Oryzias latipes: one gene and its partner. The protein of the gene in region 2 interacts with the protein of the main gene of each other region in a biochemical or structural test. Links are inferred from orthologs where the notes say so. Each region holds a gene or a part of one and is shown on either strand. Other genes may lie near its edges.

Region 1 (5,699 bases), on a different chromosome or scaffold from region 2:
TATAGCGAGCATAATTGTTATTACAAAAAGATGAAGAAAATATGTGCAATGGTTTACATATTCAGCTAATGATAACCGGGGACTAGCTAGCTAAATATATTTCCATGCGAGTTACAGTTCCGCATTTTCAAATCTAAGTTTTTGTTAGTAGGACAAGAATATTTGTTCAATGTAATCACAATTACCTGGACTAACAGAAAAACTACCGACTGTTTTTTAAAGACATTATTACTCATTGTGTGGCAGAGTTTTAATTTAAATAATGTGGAAACGTCTGAGAAGCACGGTGAATAGACGAAGCCATTACATTCCTGGACATAGACACAGCCGCTTCACTCACAAGGTTCTAGGTTGATCGTCTTCCATCGTCAAGGTGTAGTGGTCGCGTCCGGAGAGGCTTTTAGTCCAATAACATACGAATAATTTATGTTAAACGTAAGTTAACCTAAACATAAAAAATAAATATGTACAATTTAATGATTAGTCTGTGGGCGATTTTGGTTCCACACACACCACAGAGAGCCTCAGTCTGAAGCAAACAATAGGAAGTTGAAGATGGCGGAGGAATGGCGTCAGAAGCGTCAACCTCGCTGCGCGCTAAAATGCTGCCAACATCAAGAACATTCTCTCACACCAGAAAAATGACCATAAGAATTGGTAGACTTCAACAAACCACATCTTTTTTGTGTAGACCGATAAATATTTAACTAATCGTTTAATTTAAATCAGAAAAACTGGAAATTTTAAGAGAATGTACTGCAACACAGTTATGGAGTTATTGCACCATTTTTTTTTCTTTTTTTTTTTTACGTTTTTCTACAGTTTGCGAAACGAACTAACTAAACCAACTAAACGAAAAGCAAGCCAAAATAAACAAAACGGCAGTGCGCCGCCCGGGAATCGAACCCGGGTCGCAAGAATGGGAATCTTGCATGATACCACTACACCAGCGGCGCTACGTGTGATTACCGGACGTACTGATAAAGATATACCTAGGCAAAAATGAGGTGGAAGAAAAGTCTTTGATGGGAAATATTGGAAACAAAAAATTACTTTTCTACTCGTGAACTCACAGGAATAATTGCTGACTTTTTCATACATATTCTAAGTATATGCTTCCCCATGTAGAATATATCAAACAACTTGGGTGTAAACGAGGTTTGTGGGATTTTCTAGAAGCAAAGTATTCTTGTTGTAATAAATATCAGGTTAGAATTTAATTTAAAACAAAAAATTGAGGTACAATTAAGGAGAAATCTAAAGGCGTGTTTGCTTTCACCTTCATTTTCCCCTTAACACTGACTTATTCATTTCAGTCTTTTGATAACATCATTGTTTCTGCTTTTACAGCAATATAAACATCAAAACATTGTTTTAATTAAATCTCTTGAACTACTGAAAATACTTTCTTGCCAGCCCTTTTGACACCACATCTTGGGACTTCAGTGGTTGTCTCTGCAAGTTCTGCAACCACTTGAGGGTTTCATCACTGATGCCCTAACTTTACAGAAATAAAGCAATAATATAGGGAGATTACCACATTGTACACATTTTCTTTTTTTAAAAAGTATGACTTAGAAAAAACTCTACCTAAATATTAATACATCTTTCATTGTAATAAAATTGAAAAAATTCTGTTTATTTAATTATCACAATGTTTAGTATAACTGTATCTCGTATAAGTTGCTTTTACCCAAGCAAATTTACAGTGCTTTTATTTTGGTAACATAAAATATATATAGGGAACAGTCAACATTGTCTGAGTTTTCCACAACAAAAAATTGTTCAGTACAAGAAAAAAAAATAGAATAAATGTCCCTTAACCAATACGGTTCTAAAAATATGTTTGAAGAAATAAAAGTCTGCTTATTTTCACATTTAAGAGGCCTTCTAAAAGTACACAAAAGATGCTGCACTAACAGCCAAAACAATGAAAAACGTCAGTCTTACAAACTCTTGATTAGTTTGCAGAACCATCAATACTTAAACCACTTCATTCTTTTTTATTCATCATTGCCAATTTCTGTTGTGTTTTAATAAATTTTACACACGATACAAAGACGTTTTAGTTGGACAGACTTTTTCTTTTTAGTTCTAGATCAAATTTAGTAGGAAAGCTTCTTTATTTCCCTTGAATATAAATAATACATTCAAGGGAAATATATTTTAAAATATAAATTATCTTGAGGAGGACATATACAGCATACAGTTATCTATTGACAGACGCTACGGTAATAAACTCACATCCCAGACCAGAAGGTGGCGGTAATGCGCCGTTCTGTTGTTTGCCACCCGCTGTATATATATTTAAAAAAAACTTTTAAAAAAACGTCCAACGAAGAAGAAGAAGCGAGCAACCTTCTCGCCTTCGTGGCAACGGACACTTCGAGAAGCTTGGGTTTGGAGACAGCATGGCTTCACCTGTCGGTTGTGAACATTACGTACGCGGTTGTTTGTTAAAAGTGAGTACCCGTTGTAGCCTCAGCGGAAGCAAAGCTGTATGCTAGCGTAAAATGAAACAAAGGACGGACAGGCCAGGGGGCTAACTCAACAACAACTGTAGTGGCAGACCCAGTCACCGTTTGTCCGGAGCGTTATGACAGTTTTGACAGATGGAGCTCATGTCCACTTTAAGATATTGGCAGGACGTCGAAGTTAATGGGTTCCATGTGTTTTGTTTAAAGGATATACACTTCATATTAAGTTTATGATTTTGCGACTACTGCTCTGCTGCTGCTTGTGTTCCTCAGCCGCACATTGCCACATCGTTATATAATTGTTAACCGACATTTCTTTAACGTTTCCTGAGATGCCTACCAGTTAAACCCCATCCAGATGTTGATGTTCCCCTAACGTTTGCGTGTTTTTGTGAACTCCAGGCGCCGTGCTGTGGGAAACTGTACGTGTGTCGTCTGTGCCATGATGCTCAGGAGAACCACCCGATGGATCGCTTCAAAGTCAGAGAGGTGCAGTGCTCCAAGTGTAACACCTTGCAGCAGGTAAGTTGCATAAATAAAATAAACCACCAGCTGTAGTTGATGACTTTTTATTTTTATGCACGTTACCCTAAATGTGTCCTGTTTGTGCATGCTTCTCTAGGCCCAAAAAACATGTCAGCAGTGTCAGTTACAGTTTGGGGAATATTACTGTGACATCTGCCATTTGTTTGACAAGGATAAGAAGCAGTACCACTGCCAGCCCTGTGGAATATGCAGGTAAATGTGTCATTAACGGCAAACACTCATCAACGGTTTACTAAATGGCGTATACTTATATGGCGCTTTTCTACCTTCTTCAGGGCCGTAGCGCTTTAGTCACAATCCCATTCACCCATGCACACATTCATTCACACACTGGTGGTCTCAGGAGAAAGTTAGGATTTTGTCTAATAATTAGAGGTGTAGCGACTGATCGACTTAATCAGTGAATCAATTTATATTCCTAATATCCAACAAGATCGATCTGTCTGAGGCAACAAATCGACTTAAACCACTATGAAACTGTTGAAAAATGAAACATACCCATAATATCTATTGAAAAAAATCTCTGTCTTTCTCTGTATCTGAAGATATTTGCATGCTTTGGATTTATCGATCGATGTTGTTCTGGCTGTTTTCAGAAACACTTTATTTTTAAAAATCTATACTTGATCCTAATTCTTTTGCTGTATGTTAAAAAGCTCAAGTACAATGGGATTGTCTGGTAAAAGAAAAGTTGTGCATTTCTAATGAAGAAACAAACAGGAAATCTAAACAGTTGCAGGGGAAACGTGAGTTATCGGTATCGGCTGGAAAAAATTATAACCGCCCATCCCTAGAAGAGACACCACAGAAGAGGCTGATTGACAAAACCAACAAGTCACAGTGAAAAAGAATCAATAAAACAGCGAGACAGCGAAATATAGCGAAGGAACACCACCGGTAGTGATAATATTCTCCTAAAGTTTGGTACATCAGAGGAGGAACGATGCAGGCAGCGCCATGAACAGGCAAAGCCCACGCCATGTAAAATTAGGGTCAGCAGCGAAAAGTCTGGATTGAAAATTTTAACTGAGGTCTAAAAGCAAAGAGGGGAAGAACCAAAAAAAAAAACAGACGTTGAAAAGAAAAAAAGGCTGCTGTTAGAAATAAACATAATTTTCAGGTTTAAAGTTGTTTTTTAAAAGTCAAATTTACTTTTTTGACAAATTTTCAATAATTCTTTCAACTTTGTTTTGGTCAAAGTCATAATTTCTTTGTTTGTTTTTTTTCAAATTTTTAATAATTCCTTGAAGTATACAAAATGTACTTTCAAGTCTTAATACAGTTTTCAAGTTTTCCTTCTCTTCAAATTTACAAAATGGGTTTTCATTCAGTTTATGCTGTTCCCAATTTCCCTCCATAAAAAATGTCCTGGATGGAGTTTTAGGTCAGTGAATCAGTTCGTTCAAAATGAAACGATATCACCTATGAATCATATCAGCAACCACAAATTCTGATATGAATCAAATTGTTAAAATTAATCTTTAAACCCCTAATAATAGTTCATTTTTTCTTTTTTATCCAGTTACCCACTAACAGATGAGTAAACTATGTGTGTTCTGGTATTGGCAGGATTGGACCCAGTGAGAAGTACTTCCATTGTGACAAGTGCAATTTGTGTCTGGCCCAGGATCTGAGAGGAAACCACAGAGTGATTATGATTATTCACCTCCTTCTGATTCACTCTAATGGAAGAAGTTCTCACTTTGTTTTACTGACTTTGGTTTTTTTTGATTACTTTCAGTGTGTCGAAAATGTCTCTAGGCAGAACTGTCCGGTTTGTATGGAGGTATGAAACCTTAAAGTACATGTAAAACTAATATTGGATTTTCGTCTTTATTTGAGCCCAACTGTTTTTTTTTTGTTTGTTTTCTCTTTGTCAAAAGGATATTCACACGTCCAGGATCGGTGCTCATGTCCTTCCATGTGGCCATCTTTTACACAAGTGAGGCGACTTTTCTTTTCTGTTGGCTTAGGTTTATGTGTGTTAACTGCAAATAACAGTTTACAGACGAGCTGCAATGATTTCAAGCTATTTTATAAATACTTTAAACAGATTTCCTTTTAGAAGCACACAAATTAACACCACCAATGAGTTGAAGTGTCTAAAAAACTTGTCAACTCTTTTGAAAAGTAATAAATCCAGAAAATATAAATTTATTTTTTATCGAAAATGTGCTTTTTACTTTGAGATGACTGTAAACAGCAAAAAAACTTTGCTGTATTTGTGCTACTGACATATATTAGAAACTTTTTTTTTGCATTTTAAATGTGTTTATCACTTGACGAATGTGAGTAGTAAACAGATGTAAGAAAAAGTACCCGAAGCTTTTGGATATTATGGGTTTGTGCAAGAATCAGACAGACGGTTTGTTCTTGTCTTCACCTCCAACAATAGAAACAGAACAGTCTCTCTAAACTAAACACAGACAGGTGCTTTTATTGAACAAAAAAATATATATTCACAATAGTCTGTGAGAAAAGTATGTGAACCCATAATTACTTCTCCAAGAACTAATCAGACCAGGAGATGGGAAACCTGGAGTCCACTCAATGGGATGAGGTTAGATTTGGTTAAGGTCATGGCTCCCAAAAGAGGTTTAAAAGCATTTGCTTAACAAGCTATTTGTTCTGTGAATGTTTACATATTGTGTTTGATAAAAGCAGAAAAGACTAAAT
Region 2 (5,888 bases):
AGACTTTTGTGGGTTTGCTGAGCCAATTCCTTCATCCTCCCATGATCCTCCAGGTCACACCTCTCTTCCTGACGTGCTCACTCAGGGTGGGGTGACCAGAACAGACTTTCCTCCCACTCCTCCATCTGAAGCTGGGGACCGAGCCCTGGAGCGATGTGACACCCAACCGTCTGGCCTTAGAAACAGTCATGCTATCCCCTCCAGGTGTGAGGGGGCGCCCGGTTCATGCTGCAGCTCAGATCCAGCACAGGAGGACCCTACCACCATAAATCAGCTGGACCTCCCCTCTGGAGTGCACTCTGACGTCAGATAGTCGGAGAATCTCCAGTCAGCAGAACCCACAGAGGCTGCAGCAGAAGCCCTGTATCAGTGCCTGCAGGGGTGCGAAACGGCGACTCTCCACAGGAGGGCGGGGTTCAAACCTAGTTTTATCAGAAGTGTCAGTGAATGTTCTTCACTCCAGACAAAACTGCTGTGGGTCGGAACCTTGAGCTGGTTTCGCAGCTGTAAATAAAGAATAAAATCCTGAAACATGAAGCAGAATTTGCTGTTTTCAGAAGACGTATACTTGAAATTGACTTTTTAAACTCACCTTTTCTTCATATTTGATGCTGAGGAGCTGTCTGGATCTACAGTATAACGTTTGGGGGTTTGGAGCCTCCGTCACACCATTAATGTGACATTTTTCTGTTTGTTTGACAATTTTCTTATGATGCAGTAGAAATTGTATTTAGCAATGTTCTTAAAATGCAGTGAAAACTGATAAAACCCGATGTTTACGTCATTTTTTATCATCTGGTGTGCCTCCTGGCTTGTTAACTAGTTGAACAGAGCTGCAGGTGGAAACCAACAGAACCTTAAACATCATTTCAGAAACATCCTGTGTGGTTTTACAGACCTTCTCAGCTGTGTTTGGCACCAGAAACAACCCAGAAGTTAAAAGGTAGGTGAAATTAAAGTCTTTTCTTTCTGTTGTGGGCCTTTATTTTTGTTTTACTTGAGTCTCCAGCTGGGCTTCTGCCTAAATGTCTGGAGAGAAGCTTGATGAAGTTTAGTTTGACGTTCAGTCCAACAACAAACAGTTGAGGACAGAAATACTGGCTACGGTTTCCTGGAACTGCCAGTTCCTGTTTGTCTCTGCGTCACCACCGGCTGCGAGAAACACAAACATTCAAATTTCAAGCAAATTCATTTGGGACATGCTGGAGATGTTTCCAGATGGGTGTCTGGTCTCAAAGACTGTTTGATAGGAGCTTTTATGCTCTCCATGCTGGGTTCTATAAAGACGGTTGGAGATCATTGCCATTTATTTGCTTTTTTATACAAACAACATATTTTAAAGCAACGTCATTTTACATAGAGTGTTTGGTAATTAATTTGACGTGCCACACAGCATACCTACTATTCATGTTTTTCCACAAGTTTATTTTTTTAACCTATTAAAACATAACACACAGTGGCTGCAGGTGAATTTTTCTAGCAGAAATTGAAAGATATACGACCAAGATATTAGAGAAAGAGTAAAGATAAAATTATCTAGGTCTGCATCTGAACACATCAACATTTTTTGTATTTTTCAGCACAGATCTGAAGGAATTGAATGACTGATTTCCCACATATGCTCCTCCTCTACTCAGCTTTCCAGGTTTATTGAATCACATTTCAATTTCTGAAACATCCATGGTGAAAAAAAGTTGAACATGACAATCAGGATGGAAAAAATCTAGAAGACGAAAGAGGTAAAGCCATAAAAAACAACCATAGAAAAGATCTGAATTTGTAGTGTCACAGAAGAAAATTATAGCCAAATAGGTGACTCTTTTGTAATTGGATGCTCATATTTAGAAGAGAATGATGTGTAAACTGATCAGAAATGGACAGTAAAGAATGACATTTTCTACTCTGCATGTTTCAAAGTTCAAATGTTTCTACCCAACTAATCTGGAAATATGTTGCTAAAGCAAAAGAGGTGACAGTTTTCACGCTCAAGAATATTTTCAGAGTAAACTCTGGAATGTCATTCCTGACATGGAGTTTAGCTGAAAAAGTAAGAATTCATCTTCCAAGTGTATTTAGGACTTCTAGGAAAATTTACAAGTGGAACTAATATAAAAAAAGCAAGACCTGAAGAAGTAATGAGAACTTATGCAGGTGAGCATTTGTCTGGGACAAACGGATGAAAAGTCACAAAATGAAACAACACACTGAAGCACACAATCCTCATTACAATAAGGAAGGACGTAACCATTTTGACTCCGCCCCTTTATTTTAAAATTTGATGTTCTGATTATAGTGTCATCCAGTTAAAATAATGGAATTAATTTATTAATAATCAGTTTTATTTAACAGCTGCTTTTAGAAACTACATAGTTAACAATAAATCACTAAAAATATAAATTTTAAACTCTATATTTCTGTACACAAAGGTGAGAAAAGTCTTGTGTAAAAAACTGCAGGGATGAACAGGAAGTTATAAAATTGTTGACAATAATTTCTCATTCTGCTTTCTCATTCACGCTCATGGCGAACTGACCACGCCCTCACAGCAGGATGACGGCGCATTCCCACTGACTGACTCCGCCCTCACAGGATTCTGGCTCCGCCCTCACGGCATAAAGCTTCATCTGTATGTGGACAGCGGCTAGTTAGCTAACAGCATCGACCGAAACCTGAAGAGGGGCAATTATATCAGGCCGGGGTTATCCACCTGGCGTTCGCAATTAGTCAATTCCCGAGGGGACACGGATATTTCAGAACCGAACCAAAAGAAAGGAGTTCCTGAGGAACGTAGCCAGTTTTCGTGAAGTCTTGGCCGCATACGTAGTTTTAACCTGCTATCATATCAGCTAGCTTAAGCAGACAGGCCGTGGAGCTGAGCCAGCGTGAATTATCTAATCGAAGCGGTCATCCTGGAACATCACAGCCCGCCTTTGTGCTCACTTTCTGTATCAACAATACGAAAACCCCAAACACGGAGGGAGGATGGCCCTTAAAAGGATCCACAAGGTAAGAGAACGGCGGAACTGCGTGCTAACGGTGTTAGCTTTCCATGCTAGCCTCCCTAACTATTCTCCGTCAAGGCTAACGAGGAAGTGTCGCTTCGAGGTTCAGGTGTGGAGCTCTGCTCGGCTTGATGGCGGTTATAGTTTTCAGTCCAGATACTTGTGTGTCAGAAATGTGTTACAACCGGCTGACGCGCAGCTCGCCAGCCAGCCAGCTATCATTAAATCATTAGCAGTTTCGATTTTCGACCTAACCTCTCTGTTGGGGCTGACGTCTGTCAGGGCCGACCGGTCTCGGTCGTTGTTTTTGCGTTCGGTTCTCCGTGATTCACACCTGACCAAGCCGGCCAGGGCCCACGTCACGATTAGCCTCGTCGCGCGTGTGCGCGCCCGGCTGAGTTAACTCCGGCCCGGATGGGAACCGGGCAGCCCCGGAAACCGGCAGGCCGCCCGCAACTTGCCGGTGTCTGGAAGCCTCTATGAGGAAAGGCCGGGGTGGGGCCCGGCTCATCCGCTCCAAAATAGACGGTCACCTAAAAATAAACATTATATGGACGGGCTGTATGTTTGCTGTGGATATAAAAACTGGGCTGTGCGGGCCCGTCCGGGGGAGGGGGTATGGGGGTAACCTTAACCAGGGAGGACGTTGTTCCTCACATACTCGGTGTTTGGAGATGTTGACGTTCGTCAGACTCTAGTATCTTCATGACTGACTGAAGCTCCTCTCCTGACAGGAACTGAATGACCTGGCTCGTGACCCCCCAGCTCAGTGCTCTGCTGGCCCGGTGGGAGATGACAGTAAGTGATCCGAACACACTGATGTAAATCTGAAAACCACATATGTTAGTGGATGCCGTGAACAGGAAACAGCGTTCCTGGCAGGCTGTGACAGTCACAGTGACCTGTAAGCTTCTTTATAATGCTTCATTTTTGTCCTTGCAGTGTTTCACTGGCAGGCTACCATCATGGGACCTGTGAGTACATTTTGACCTTCCCGTCATGTTATGGTGGTGGGGGGGGGGGTCTCACTTTCTTCATATAACGGCAAATGTTTATGCTTGGATCTGTCAGTCCTTAACTCGGTTTAAACTTCTCCTTGCAGAGTGACAGTCCATATCAGGGAGGTGTTTTCTTCCTGACAATTCATTTTCCAACAGACTACCCCTTCAAACCCCCAAAGGTGAGCTGCTATGACGGGTGTCTTCTGTGCGTTTCCATAGTAATGAGTTAAGACAGGATGTGGTGCTGCCTTTTGATTTAGACAAAGCGTTTGATTTCGGAACAAAGTGAAACTGTAATTCTTTTTTTTTCCTGTTTACATCATCTGCCGGTCCAGCCTGTTCTGTCGCAGGATCTGCGTTGCATAACTCAGATTTTTGTTGCGTCTCTCCCTCAGGTGGCATTCACAACAAGAATTTACCACCCAAATATTAACAGTAATGGCAGTATCTGTCTGGATATTCTCAGATCACAGTGGTCTCCTGCACTTACTATTTCTAAAGGTAGGAAGCTGTAGTTTGACGTTTAATAATTAACTAATGTCTTTTAATGTTGTGGAAGAAGTTTGCCTTCCGATGTCAAACTGAGTTTCCGTAAACTTTTCTCTTGTAGTTCTTCTCTCCATTTGCTCACTCCTATGTGACCCAAACCCCGATGACCCATTAGTGCCAGAGATTGCACGGATCTACAAAACAGATGGTCAGAAGTGAGTAAAAGCCGTCCTTTTGCATGTGACAAGACCCTGATCCCACCTTTTTTGGTTGATCCATGTGCGTGGATTTCACTTTGTTAGGTACAATAAACTAGCTCAGGAGTGGACGGCAAAGTATGCCATGCTGTAGGGTAAGCCTAGTGCTGCATCTTGACTGGTATCTCTTTCTCACCTTGGCAAAGATCTAACTGTTGCACTAATCTGTGTGCACACAACCAGTGTACTCGGTCAGATTCAGTCTCCCTTTTGTACCCCAGCTTCAGATTTGATCTGATTTTCTTCAGACGTTCTGAATGTGACGAGTTTGACGGGAAATGAACTGTATGCATGACAGTGAAAAAGTGGTTCAATTTGACGTGTCCTGCTAAGTAGCTTTTGGGGTCAGGCACAAATGTGTCTGGTGTGGTTAAAGTCCCACTTTGATCATCTTTTGATCTATTTTCAAAGCATTCTCACTGGTCTTTTAAATATGACTATTGCTAATGCAGAGCAACCCCCCCCCCCCCCATTACTGAGAGCTCCCCGTTTACGTGTTCTCCCCCTAGCTTAAAGTCCCTCACAGCCCCAAGCTAACATTAGCAGTGCAACAAAAATGTTGAGCAATATTGAAGCTATCTAGTGGTACAGTTTTTAGCCAGATGCCAGCTCAGACGAGGAAACAGGTTTTTTTAATCCTGTCTTTATTCACAAGGTTTGAATAGCTTAATTTATGTAATGTCCTCCATCAGAAAACCTCCGATAGAACGTATTAAAAACACTATTTTCAGTGGAGTGGGTCTTAAAAGTTCAGCACATCCAGGTTGAAGGTCTGCTAGTAAACATGTCTACTAATCAAGGTATGAGTTTCCGCTTTTTGTATCTTGTGGCGCTGCCTGAATGCGAACCGCATTGCTTAAGGTTGTAGCTGCTGTTGTGGCTCCTCCCACTACGCCTTCTCACCCTACAAAGTTATGTAAAGAAGTTGGATTGAAAATGCAGCCCCCCCCCCTCTAAAATCTGTTTTTATCCCTCTACAGATACACCAAAATGGCAAAAGAATGGACACAAAAGTACGCAATGTGACGGCGTTCATCGGAAGCTGCTGAAACTGTTCGTTTAAGATTAAAGTTTGGGTTTTTCTTTTTCACTTTTTGTTTTTATTAATCACCACTTGACCCCCCCCCCCCCCCCCCATC

Evidence for each region.
Region 1: the proteins of ubiquitin-conjugating enzyme E2 D2 (region 2) and rchy1 form a complex in vitro, tested with the Homo sapiens proteins (9 studies listed by BioGRID and IntAct, with this or other methods). The link is inferred for Oryzias latipes from reciprocal best matches to the Homo sapiens genes UBE2D2 and RCHY1.

The regions. Positions count from the first base shown.
Region 1 is NC_019867.2:25,251,918-25,257,616, forward strand, and holds the start of rchy1 (RING finger and CHY zinc finger domain-containing protein 1), read left to right. Parts: upstream 1-2,317; 5' UTR 2,318-2,411; coding exon 2,412-2,462; intron 2,463-2,879; coding exon 2,880-2,999; intron 3,000-3,099; coding exon 3,100-3,215; intron 3,216-4,592; coding exon 4,593-4,671; intron 4,672-4,764; coding exon 4,765-4,809; intron 4,810-4,906; coding exon 4,907-4,965; intron 4,966-5,699. Other genes in the region: nucleolysin TIA-1, read right to left, coding at 341-366. UniProt on the Homo sapiens protein: E3 ubiquitin-protein ligase that mediates ubiquitination of target proteins, including p53/TP53, TP73, HDAC1 and CDKN1B. Mediates ubiquitination and degradation of p53/TP53; preferentially acts on tetrameric p53/TP53.
Region 2 is NC_019880.2:25,334,575-25,340,462, forward strand, and holds the start of ubiquitin-conjugating enzyme E2 D2, read left to right. Parts: upstream 1-2,592; 5' UTR 2,593-2,982; coding exon 2,983-3,006; intron 3,007-3,736; coding exon 3,737-3,800; intron 3,801-3,944; coding exon 3,945-3,976; intron 3,977-4,104; coding exon 4,105-4,182; intron 4,183-4,398; coding exon 4,399-4,504; intron 4,505-4,613; coding exon 4,614-4,707; intron 4,708-4,794; coding exon 4,795-4,843; 3' UTR 4,844-4,844; intron 4,845-5,729; coding exon of another isoform or gene 5,730-5,775; 3' UTR 5,776-5,888. Other genes in the region: RING finger protein 145-like, read left to right, coding at 1-313.